3 linked regions of the Notamacropus eugenii genome follow. The protein of the gene in region 3 interacts with the protein of the main gene of each other region in a pairwise test. Links are inferred from orthologs where the notes say so. Each region holds a gene or a part of one and is shown on either strand. Other genes may lie near its edges.

Region 1 (3,746 bases), on a different chromosome or scaffold from region 3:
GAGAGACATGAGAATGAAAATGAATATTGCTAAAATGTCAAAGGAGAGGTATATGAAGGCTGCAAAACGTTAAAAATAAGGAATTACCGAGAAGCTTAGTAAAGAAGGCCATTAAAGAGGGAAGCACCTCCCCCTGTGCGTACAACTTAGAGAACAGGGGCAGACAGTTTCCTCTATACCAATTAAGGGAATGTCCAAATGATGGATTCACACATGCTCTAAGGAAAATCTGATAGGTGACAGGACCAGATGCTAATCAATCAACAAACATTTCCTGGAGCTCACTGCCTGATAGCAAGAGCCACACTCATTTTGCCAGGTCCACCAGCATTAATGTCAGTAGTCTGAGGAAAACATCCTAGCTCAGGTGATGCTAAGAGGAATCTTTTCTATAGCTAGTTGTGAATACTGTTTTCAAAGAAAACTATTTGTTACCATAGTTGGAAAAAAACCAGCTACGTTATCTACAAATATCTAAAATCAATGATTGCAATCCTTTGCATACTACAAGTATCCGTCTAGAGAGATGTCTGGATGATGTTAACGAAAACTGCGCCATCCGGGTTCAGGGTATGAGAGGGTAAAGGGCAAGGTTACTGACTAGATCTAGGCAAATTCCCTTGAGACTTCAGAGTTCTCTCGCTGTTCCAGAAAGGAAAGCAAACACAACGAAGTTTACTAGCTCAAAGGCAGGCAGGCAGACCAGCTCCCTCCAAAGATCAGATTTTACGTTTCCATGCTTGGCCTCAGTAACAACCCGCCGTGAAACTGACAAGCGGGGAGGACGCCCGTGACAACCAAGGAAACAAACTCGACAACGATTCCGGCACCCTACTGAGCGCCGCACCGGGACTCGGGAGACCAGGACTTAAATTCTGCCTGGCCTCACGGGCCTCAGCTTCCTCATCCGTAAGACGAGGGTAACGTTAACCCCTCCTTCCCAGGACTGCTGTAAGGACACAGCACCGTGCCAACCCTGAAGGGCTACACGAATTCTGGAATCTTGTCCTGAAGCAGAAACCCGAGTTCCAGCTGCTCTGTGCGGGCCGCGGTCCCAGCAGGGTCAGCTCTCTGGGCAGCGCCGGGCGGACCTGACCAGACGGCCTGGGCTGAAGCAGAGGCAGGGGCGCAGACGAACTCTTAGGGAGACGCTTGAGCCCAAGTCACAGGTGGGAGGGCTCCGAGCGCGGCAGGAGTACAAGAGAACGCTTTTACCGGACGTCACGGTCCTGTCAACCACGTGTCCGCTCCACCTACGGCCCCACCCCGGGCACGGACTCGGGGTCCGCGGCTGGTGCGGCCCGCCGGGCACAGGCCGGCGCTGCCTACGCAGGCCGGGGGACTCCTTTGCCACGTCCTTGTCCAGGGGGCGAAGGCCACTTCGGCCCCAACTTTCCCACGGCGCGCTCCCCGCACCGCCTGCCCCCGGGTTTCGGGAAAGGCCGGGCGGGCTGGGCACGCGGACCTCCATGCCCTCGCTCTTTCTCCTTTTACGAACACTCCCCCTCCCCCCAGACGGCCCGGCAGAAAAGACTGCGGACCGGCGAGGGGGCGCCCGGCGGGGCCCGGACCCGCGATGACCGCGCACCAACTTTCGGACCCGCCCGCCCGGCGGAGCACTAGCCTGCGGGCGCCCGCCTGGCCCGGACCCCGACAGCCGACCCGGGCCCGTCACGCGCGCCCCGAGCCTCCGGGGCACGCGCTCCGGCTCGGCCCGGGCGGCCCCCAGACCCCGACCTGCACTCCCAGAGGCGGCGGAGGGCAGGCCTCTCACCTGCGAGGGCGGCAGCGCCGAGAAGCGGAGGGTGTCGGCTCCGGGCGGGATCCGCTTCACTACCAGCGACCCCTATGACCCCTGACCTTCTCCCGGCCCCGCCAGGCTGCGGCCCCTGCGCCCACTGACCGGGGTTCGGTCCAGCCGACACCATAGAGACGCCCCCGGAAACGGGACAGAACGCCAGCCTCCGTCCCTCCGACTCCACCAGAGAGGCGGCTGCGCCCGGGACCGCACTAGAGCGGCGCCAGCCCTCGGACCGTGGCGCCGAGCGCTGTCCCTCACCGTAGCCGGCGGAGACAGTCACTCTTGGTCAGGCCTCCGCCCCAAAAGCTATCTCGGGAAGCTTTTCCTTCTAGTACTTCTAAGCCTTACCACCGAGCTCGGGTTCCACTTCCGCCCGAATCCAAAATGGCTGCCCGGCCACTCCGTTTCACGTCGTACGGGAAGGGGGCGGTGCGCCGCGCATCTCCTGCACTCCGATTGGTTCCTCTGCCGGGACTCAAGTTTCCCTGGCGAAGGACTGATGCTTTGGCCGCCATGATGGGTTCGGGCAGACTTTCGTAGGCGATTCCTAGCAGCGCGAGTTCCGCCGGACCTGGCCAGGCGGAGCATTCGACAGGTGAGCCCGGACCTGAGGGCGAGGCCTCTGCTCCCCCGCCCCTCGGTAGTAAGTTAGGTTCCCAGGCCTTTTCTAGATACTGGATAGATTCAAATAAATACAGTGAATCCATTTTTAAAGTCCCGAGTCGCCTGGAAGCCCCACGCTGCGGGGTCTCGGCCGGACGAACGTGGGCCCTTCCTTGCCCGAGGACTGGTCCGGCCTGGTCCGGCCCCTCTCGCACGCCCACTCCCCCGCCCAGGCGGGCCCTTATCCCCGCCAAGGGGGCCTGGGCTCCCCGGTCCCGGCCCCGCCCGCGCGCGCTTCTGCGCTCGGTCCATTGACTTTTACAGAGACGGAGACTGAGCCCCCCGAAGGTGAGCGGCCCGGACGTGACTCCGGCCAGCGCACGTTCACCTGTCCGGAACAAAAAAGCCATTTCCGAAAGTCCCCGGAGGAGCGCCCTTGGGGCCGAGGGCAGAACCCGTGACCGTCAGGTCCCCGGCGGCTCCCGGGTCCGCCCCAGCCTGCGCAGCCGGGCCCGCGGCTTCCGGTGCTCGGGGAACCCTGGCCACGGCCGAGGGGGGGCCGTGAGAACGAAGCTGCCTGGCTTTATGCAACAGAAGTCGTTGAATTTGAATTGAAATCGAACCACGACCGGACTCTGCTCCCCCAGCTTTGCGACCCTTGGTTGGGCAGAGGCCCCTCAGGGACCCGGGGACAGGGGACGCCTTGGCCTTAGGGCCACAGGTGGACGCGCCCTCCACCCCCACCCCCCCGGGCTCCGTCGCTTCAGACTCGGGGTCCGGTGCCATCTGGTCTTCGCGCTACGTGAATGTCCCGCCACCGAGGCGCTCGACCCGTCGCCCAGCCAGCAGACCGGCACCGCCCGCTCCGGTTTCACACGGCTTTGGTTTTGAATGACTTTTCTGGGTAGTGTAAGAAATGGAGCTCGGTTTCTTCAGGCCGAACCTTGGTTCCGTAAACGCCCGGCCGCTTGTTTTCTCCTTCTCGGTCCGCTGAGGTGCCCCCCTCCCCCCTCCTCCCTCTCCCCTCCCTCCTCCCCGCCTCTCTTCTCCCTCCTCCCTCTCCCCTTCCTCCTCCCCCCCTCTCTTCTCCCTCCTCCCTCCTCCCCCCCTTCTCCCTCCTCCCCCCTTCTCCCTCCTCCCTCCTCCCTTTCCCCTCCCTCCTCCCCCCTCCCTTCTCCCTCCTCCCTCCTCCCTCCTCCCCCCTCCCTTCTCCCTCCTCCCTCCTCCCCCCTCCCTTCTCCCTCCTCCTCCCTCCCTCCTCCCCCCCTCCCTTCTCCCTCCTCCCTCCTCCCCCCCTCCCTTCTCCCTCCTCCCTCCTCCCTCCTCCGTCCTCCCCCCTCCC
Region 2 (3,746 bases), on a different chromosome or scaffold from region 3:
GGATTGCTCTCAGTGTATAAAGTGTCTCCTTCAGCTTGTTTACTTCTGAAAAAAGGGTCAAGATGCCTGGTTTTGAGTTCTGGCTCTAACATTTACTAAGTCAGACTCAGAGACTATCAAATCTGGATAAGACCTTCGAGATGAGTCACCCTCTCTGAACCTGTTTCCTGATCCATCAAATGGGAGTAATGAGGCCTACCCTGTGTACCTTACCAGAGACATATGGATCAAATGAAATAACATTGTATATAAGTTACCTGCTTTGTAAGATATAAAGTGTTACATGAATGTTTAGATGTTACTGTTACTGTACCAAAAGCCAGTGTCTGTTATGATATCTCTTCATACTTCCTGGCAGGGATAGCATCTGGCCTCAGAGAAGGGGGTAAGCATGAGAGTACCTGGCTGGAAAGGGGCATAGAAGCGTAGTTTTTGATAAGGAGAAGGTAATAGATTTGACTTAAATGACCTCTGGAGATTGCTATGAACAACAAAAGGTCAAAAAAAGAAAATAGATGATGCCTCCCAGTGGACAACCAGAGACAACAGGTGTCCTGGGCTTCAGATATTCCTTTCTGCAAGGAAATGATCAGGAGATCCAGAAATTCCAAAGGTGCAGTATCCTTCCTTAAGCCAACAATCTGTCTTAGAGAAGCCCATTGGACACACAAAAATGTTTTTGAATCAAAACTACTTCCTAAATGAGTCACTCTATGACTCACTGGTATGTAAGCTACTCCACATACATCTAGAAATATGCATGGAGGTGGCCTACTCTCACAGCAGGAAATCCTGGACCACCTCATTGGCCAATAAAAGTTAAGGCCAAGCAAATGATGTATTTCTTAAAAAGTCAGTCTAACCCTTTAAGCCACTGAGTGAGGGTGACTCCCAACTGGAGACTGTCTGAATCTTATCCTGCTGAACAGTGTAACACATTATGAGTATGTAAATATTACATTTATAAATGTACATAATTTAAGAACATATTTTTAATGATTCTGCTCTCCACATCACAAGCTTCGGATACTCACCACCTGGGTGACCCTGCTTAAGCAAGTCCCTTAACCTCTCCTTTTCTTCATCTATATAAAATGAGAAGGTTGAACTTAAATCAATTTTAAAGTCACTTTCTAACATCAGGTCTATGAGGGGCAGGTATGCCACTGAAGACTTGAAGTTTCAGTGACAATAACAGTATGAACGTTAATTTTCAGGATTTGCATAAGATACATAAATGCCTTACCCCAGCAGCCTAATAGGGCAGTTAGCAAGTTTTTGCTATCTAGCCTAGTCTAGTGGAAAGGGAACTTACCTGACTTGGAATTAGAGGTCCCGGGTATGAAGCTGAGCTCTTATACACAATATCTGTGATTTGACTTCCAGTGATTCATAACTGACATTTATATAGACTAAGTATAAGTAAACAGTTTGACAGTACAGGACATTTCCGTTTTGATTTCATATCTCCCAGCTCCTCAGTAGTGCTTGGCACACAGTACGAATTTAGTAAAAGTTGAATTATTTCACTTGAATCTCACATCTGAGACAGATACTCAGGTATTGGGGAAACTGAGACACAGAAAAGTTAGAGATTTATTTGTCCATGGTCCCACTGCTACTAAATGTGGTTGGATATGAATCCAGGCTTCCTAATATCAAACCCAGGGATCTTTCCACTTTTCCAGGTGTAATGTTAAAGATCTTCTCTCCATTAAAAAGCCTCACCTGAAGCCAATTAAGGGAAGCTGTTTGTTCAGTGAGGCACTGGGTCCCAAGGGTTGTGATGCCATCTGGCTCTGAAAAGTGTATACATACTCCAAGATGAGGTTTTGCTTTAGGGGCTTGAAAGAAGGTTCATGTGCTTGATGACTATGGGTAGCAGCTAGGGAGCCTCCAGGCTTTGAAAACCCATATGTTGGTGCTTCTCTCTTCTCTCTCTGGTAACCATATATGTATGTATGGTCAGACAGTTGGATCTGTCTGTTGATCTGTGATGTCTGTTGGTCTTTATTTTTCTGCTTGTATTTTTTCTGTTGGTGAATGTAATTAAAGTAGATTGCTGACCCCTCAAAAGTTGCTTTCCTTTTAGAAAAGCAGATCTAAGAACCTGTACAGCAGGCCCTCCTGTATATGTCAGGGTGCTTGCTGCTACACCAGGTCTTAGATTCAGAGAACACACTTAATTTTCCCAAAGTATTTTCCCACATATATTCCCCAATCCCCTAAACCAGAAGTTCCCAGCCTGGGGTATACTTACTCCCAAGGAGGTAGGAGCTTGTCAAGGAAGTAAGGGGAATACTTGGTAAATAGATCGATTTACCAGGCAGTCCAGCCTCAAACCCTTACTAGCAGTGTGATCTTGGGCAAGTCACTTAATTTCTGTATGCCTCAGTTTCCACCTCTGTAAAATGTGCAGAATATTTGAAAGAGTTGTTGTGAGGATCAAATGAGCTAGGATCTTATGATTTCAATGGAGATAATAAATAATAACTAGCATTTTTACAGCTCCAATGAGAATGTCAAGCACCACGCACATGAACCTTCGAGCACTATAATATTGCCCCTTTAAGGTTTGCCAAGTGCTTGGCACATATCTCATTTGATTTGAAATGATTTATATATAGATATAGATATATAGATACACATATTTATATATTATATAATACAAATATATTATTATTTATATATATAATGTGTGTGTATGCACACACATACATGTATAATTTAAAACTGATAATTGATGATACATTCATCTCCGTATCTACGATCCCATGGTTTCAGTGGGATAAGTTAATAATAACTACTGTTTATACATTAAATAAGAGTCCTATATTATTTGTATTCTATATAAACTGAGGCCCGACGGGGCTGCCCAAGGTCACGGAGCGCCCTTGGGTGCGAACTTTCACCCTCTCCTTCCCCCAGGTGGAAATGAAGACCCCTCCCCCCACCGAGGGCTTCCGCTCCCTGGGTGACTCATTTTCCCTCTCCCCCTCCCCCTCCCTCTCCCTTTTTCTCTGCATCTCACTTTCCCCACCTGTTAAATGACTCTGTGATCCCAAAGGCCCCTCCCAGCTGAGATCCTACAACCGCCCCCCAAATCAGACCACCTACGTCCCCCTGCCCCATCAGGAACCAACTCGCTTTAGGCCTCACCCCCGCGCCAGGTACGCCTCCCGTCGGGCCTCCAAATCTCGCGATCCTTCAGTTCCCAAGCCCGTAACCCCAGGCTACTAAACTCGCGAGAGATGTCACAGCCTCATGGGAGTTGTAGTTTATTACTCGGTAGTCAGCCTCAGAATCTCTAGCCTGGGAAAATGTACTGCGCAGGCTCGGACTCCCGAGTCCCTGGGGAGGAATCCACGCCCACCTGGACTTCAAAGCCGGTTTCCTCTTTACACCTTTATAAAGTTCTTGCAATCTGACGGTTGGGGAACTGCAGATTACAACGTGGTTTGCTGATGGTCTTTGACCATTTAATAAGAGTACAAGTCACATGCGCAAATTCATCAGTGACCGCTCTGCCTTTTGTAGATTACTTTCTATCTACTCTGGACACATCTTGCATGTGCCCAGTTATTGACACGTTGTTTTCCCCCATTTGACCGTAAACCCCTTGAGGGCAGGGAATGTTTTTACCTCTCTTTGTATCTCCACTGCTTAGCATTGTGCCAGGCACATAGTAGGAGCTTAATCAATGGTTCTTGACTCGCAAAAGTCTCTCACTTAGCTCTCCTATCTCT
Region 3 (3,746 bases):
AGGAAGGTGTGATCTGGGCTGAAGTTCTAGCTTTAGGGTGACTTTGGGCAAACTTTCCTTATCTGTAGAATGCGGGGGCCAGAAGGATTTCTGGGAAAGGAGATGGAGGAGAGGGAGAGCTCAACTCCAAAAGCCCAGAGATTTGCCAGTGGCTCCTGTGTGTCAGCTCTGCTGGGCCTAGATACAAAGAGACAACACACCCAGCAGCTTCCTTGGAGGAGCTTAGTCTGCTGGGAGGGTGCAAGAGTCAACAATAAATGGCAGAGAAGGCAAACATCCTATCTGGACAGAGGAGAAATGTACACAAAGTGCTCTAGAACAGTATGAGGAGATCCTGAGATGCCGGAGCTGGAAAGGGCCTTCAGGGATCGTCTATTCCAACCTCCTTTTGTACGGCCAAGGGCACTGAAGCCCAGATGGGGAAAAGACATGACCTGAGGCAGATAATCACCAGATCCACAAGTATTTATTAAGTACTCACTACATGTCAGACCTCACTAGGGGAGAAGAACAGGAAGATGTGCAAGGAATTTACATTCTAAGGGGGAACACAAGTAACAGAAAAACACACACAGGACAGAAACAAAGTTAATAGAAACAAATATATAGAGTAGTTAAATACAGAGTAAGGTGGGGAGGAGGGCACCAGCAGCTGAGAGAGGAGGAAAGGCTTCCTGCAGAAGATGCTGCTTGAACTTGGTCCTCAAAGGAGAGGGAGGCTGAGGTGGGGAGAAAAGGAAAGCATGCATTCTAGGCAGGCCCATGCAAAGGCAGGGAAGGAGATGTGACAGAGAGAAGGCCAAGCCAAGGGCGCTGGCAAGTCTATAGTACTTTAAGGTTCTTTACATAAAACACCTAATGTGTTACCTCATTTGATCCTCACAATAACCCTGGGAGGGAGGTGCTCTAATTATCACTCTCATTCTACAGTTAAGCAAACTGAGGTAAACAGAGGCAAACAGAGGTAAGTGATGGCCAGTATCACACAGCTAATTAGTGTTTTCCCAACTCCAATCCTGCACTACCCACAATAACAAATGAGACAGGAAAGATAGGCTGGGACCAAGTTTCACTGGGATTTAGAAGCTAAAGGGTTTATATTCTCTCTTAGAGGCAATAAAGATCCCAGAGGGCTGAGGAGGGAATCATGGTCAGAATGACGCTTAAGAAAAGTTACTTTGGCAGCTGTGTGTAGGATGAACTGGAGAGGTGAGACCGGAGGCAGGCAGACCAGTTAGAAGTCTGCAGGCCAGAGGTGATGAAGGCTTGAATTAAGGGGTGTGAGAAGGGGTCAGATGGGAGACATTTCAGAGGCTAAAATAGCTAGATATGGCCCTCAGTCACACAAGTTACAGGAGATTTGAACACAAATCTTCTATCTCCAACACAAGGAGAGCTTGAGAACCATGTGTAAATCCTGGCTCTTCCTTCTGAGGCAAGTCATTTAGTGGATGGAGGGATGGGCTAGGAAAGCTGAAGCTGAAGATTCCATCAGGTTTCTAAGGTCCCTTGACCTCTAACTGTATGAAGGCACCCCTATAGGGCAGGTGAAACTAACCAAGGGCTGGTGAACTTTTTAAAAATTTTAATTCTATAACTATTGCAATAAAATTGGTTTCCTTGGTAATCCTAAGTACCTTATTTAAAAACACAATTCTGAGAAGAGGTCTGTAGGCCAAAGAGTCCAGAACAAAAAGAATTAAGAACTCCTGTTATGCAAGATCAGATCAAATGAGATAATATGGAAAGTTGTGTGCCAACCTTAAAGGGCCGTATAAATGCAAACTATTACAATTACTATAGGAGCGAAAACTTGATTGAGGTCACACGGTTCCACCCTCTCTTTTTTACAGATGTGGAAACTGAGGCCCAAAGAGACATGACTTGGCCAGATACAGGGCATTTACTACATGCAAATCACCCATAAGGATGCTTTCATTCTACTGGGGGGGACCATGGTCAACAGGCAGGAAATTTGAGGAGGTGAACACTGTGTGGTGATGGAACCAGGCTAGGAAAGGCTTCTTGTGTTAGGGGGCTCCTAAGGAAGGGTTCTAAGGGGCAGAGATCAGGAAGTAAAGCGTGAAGGTTTGGGGGGACGGCTTAGGCAAAAGCACGGAGGGAGGAGATGGGCATTTGGCCGCAAATATAGAGCACGGAAGAGAGTAAGGGTCACTGCAGTCCGGGGGCTATTTTTTAAACAACAAACGTTTAAGGGCTGATTGACTGGCCACCCCCGGGGTCCAGCTCAGGGCCCGGCACGTGGAAGGCACGGAAGCGAAGCCTGCAGGTTACCGGGAGTGCAAGCAGGGGCCGGACCAGGCACGGCCTTGAATGCCGAGCTCAGGAGTTTGCACCCGGGTCCGGAGGGCGGGTAGGGGAATCACGGCAGGCGCGTGAGCAGGGACAGCGTGACCCTGAGGACCGGGGAACCAGAGTTCCGGGGCGGAACGTGGGGCCCGGGGAGGGGAGGGGGCCGCCAGGGCGGGCGGACCCGGGAGGAAGCTGGCCGCCGCCCGCCGCCCGCCGCCCAACCCGGGGCTTCCCCACGCGCGCCTCCTACCTCCCTGCGGCGCGAGCGCGACCACGAGCTAGAGCGAGCGGACGCCCCCGGGCCGCCCTACCCTCCAGTCTGCCTCCGCCTCCGCCCCCAGCGGCCCGGCCCGGCCTGGCCCTGCCCGCCCGTCAAGGGCACGGCGAACGTCACTTCCGTTCCGGGGTCGGGCTTGCGTCACTTCCTGCAGCTGCCTCCCGCTTTCCCCAGAGAGGGGAGGGGAAAGGAGGACGGCGCGAAAGGAGGGGGCGGGGCAAGGCGCCGCATGCGCACCACGTAGGAAGTGGCGCTAGCCGTTAGAGACGGAAGTGGGTGGAGCTAGCGAGCGAGGGTACGTTAACGCCCCGCGGGCGTGACCAGCCGCCGGCTCCTCCCTGGTGCCCCGGGTCATTCTGGGTGGTCCCAGTCTTCCCATCTGTCACGTGATGGGGTGGTCTTGATGTCACGGTCCTCTTCTAGAACGAAGAACTAACTCGCAGGAGGGGGTGGGGCCGGCTTGGCCCTTGACGGCACCCTCTCCCTCCCTGAGCCTTAGTTTCCCCATCTGCAAAATGGGACGGTGAGTCTCCAGCGCCCCAGGGGGCGCATCTACCCCAGACCCCCCACCCCAGGAAAACCTGGGGCTTAGAGTTGGCCATTAAAGCCCCCCAGCTTGCCCCCGTCCCAGTCAGTGCCCTCTGGTCTTGAGCCACCCCGCTGACGTCAACCAATTAATCAATAGCCATTGATTAAGCCAGGCACTGTGCTGAGCTCTGGGGCTACAAAAAAGGGGCCAAAGAGAGCCCCCGCCCGGCAGGAGCTCCCAGTCTACTGGGGAGGGGGGGGGAGAAAACTAGCGAACAAATCAGTATAAACACGCTACAGACAGGATCCATGTGAGATGATGCATAGAAGGAAAGCCCTGGACGAAGAGCCTGAGGAAGGCTCCGTTTAAGCAGGTGGGACTTTAGCTGGGACTTGAAGGTAAGCCAGAGAGATCAGCAGTTGGAAGGGAGGAGGGAAGAGGCCCAGCCATGGGGCACCGCCAGAGAAAATTCCAGGAGCTGAGTGAGCAAGTGCCAACTGTCACGTAGGGCACTCCCATCTCCCCTCTCGGAGCCTTTGCCCAGGCTGTTGTTCCTACCTGGAACATTCTCTGCCTCCTAGAATCTCTGGACTCCTTCCAGACTCAGCTCCAATCCTACCTCTTCAG

The links.
Region 1: the proteins of TXN2 (region 3) and SCYL3 interact in binary tests that used the Homo sapiens proteins (3 or more experiments, as listed by UniProt). The two-hybrid records come from large-scale screens. The link is inferred for Notamacropus eugenii from reciprocal best matches to the Homo sapiens genes TXN2 and SCYL3.
Region 2: the proteins of TXN2 (region 3) and PPCDC interact in binary tests that used the Homo sapiens proteins (3 or more experiments, as listed by UniProt). The two-hybrid records come from large-scale screens. The link is inferred for Notamacropus eugenii from reciprocal best matches to the Homo sapiens genes TXN2 and PPCDC.

What each region holds. Positions count from the first base shown.
Region 1 is NC_092873.1:476,487,145-476,490,890, reverse strand, and holds the start of SCYL3 (protein-associating with the carboxyl-terminal domain of ezrin), read right to left. Parts: upstream 2,475-3,746; 5' UTR 2,390-2,474; coding exon 2,150-2,389; intron 2,129-2,149; exon of another isoform or gene 2,060-2,128; intron 1,903-2,059; exon of another isoform or gene 1,775-1,902; intron 1-1,774. UniProt on the Homo sapiens protein: May play a role in regulating cell adhesion/migration complexes in migrating cells.
Region 2 is NC_092872.1:240,978,283-240,982,028, forward strand, and holds the start of PPCDC (phosphopantothenoylcysteine decarboxylase), read right to left. Parts: upstream 2,610-3,746; 5' UTR 1,794-2,609; coding exon 1,729-1,793; exon of another isoform or gene 1,316-1,728; intron 1,298-1,315; exon of another isoform or gene 1,035-1,297; intron 1-1,034. UniProt on the Homo sapiens protein: Catalyzes the decarboxylation of the cysteine moiety of 4-phosphopantothenoylcysteine to form 4'-phosphopantotheine and this reaction forms part of the biosynthesis of coenzyme A.
Region 3 is NC_092874.1:293,519,900-293,523,645, forward strand, and holds the start of TXN2 (thioredoxin, mitochondrial), read right to left. Parts: upstream 2,850-3,746; 5' UTR 2,564-2,849; intron 1-2,563.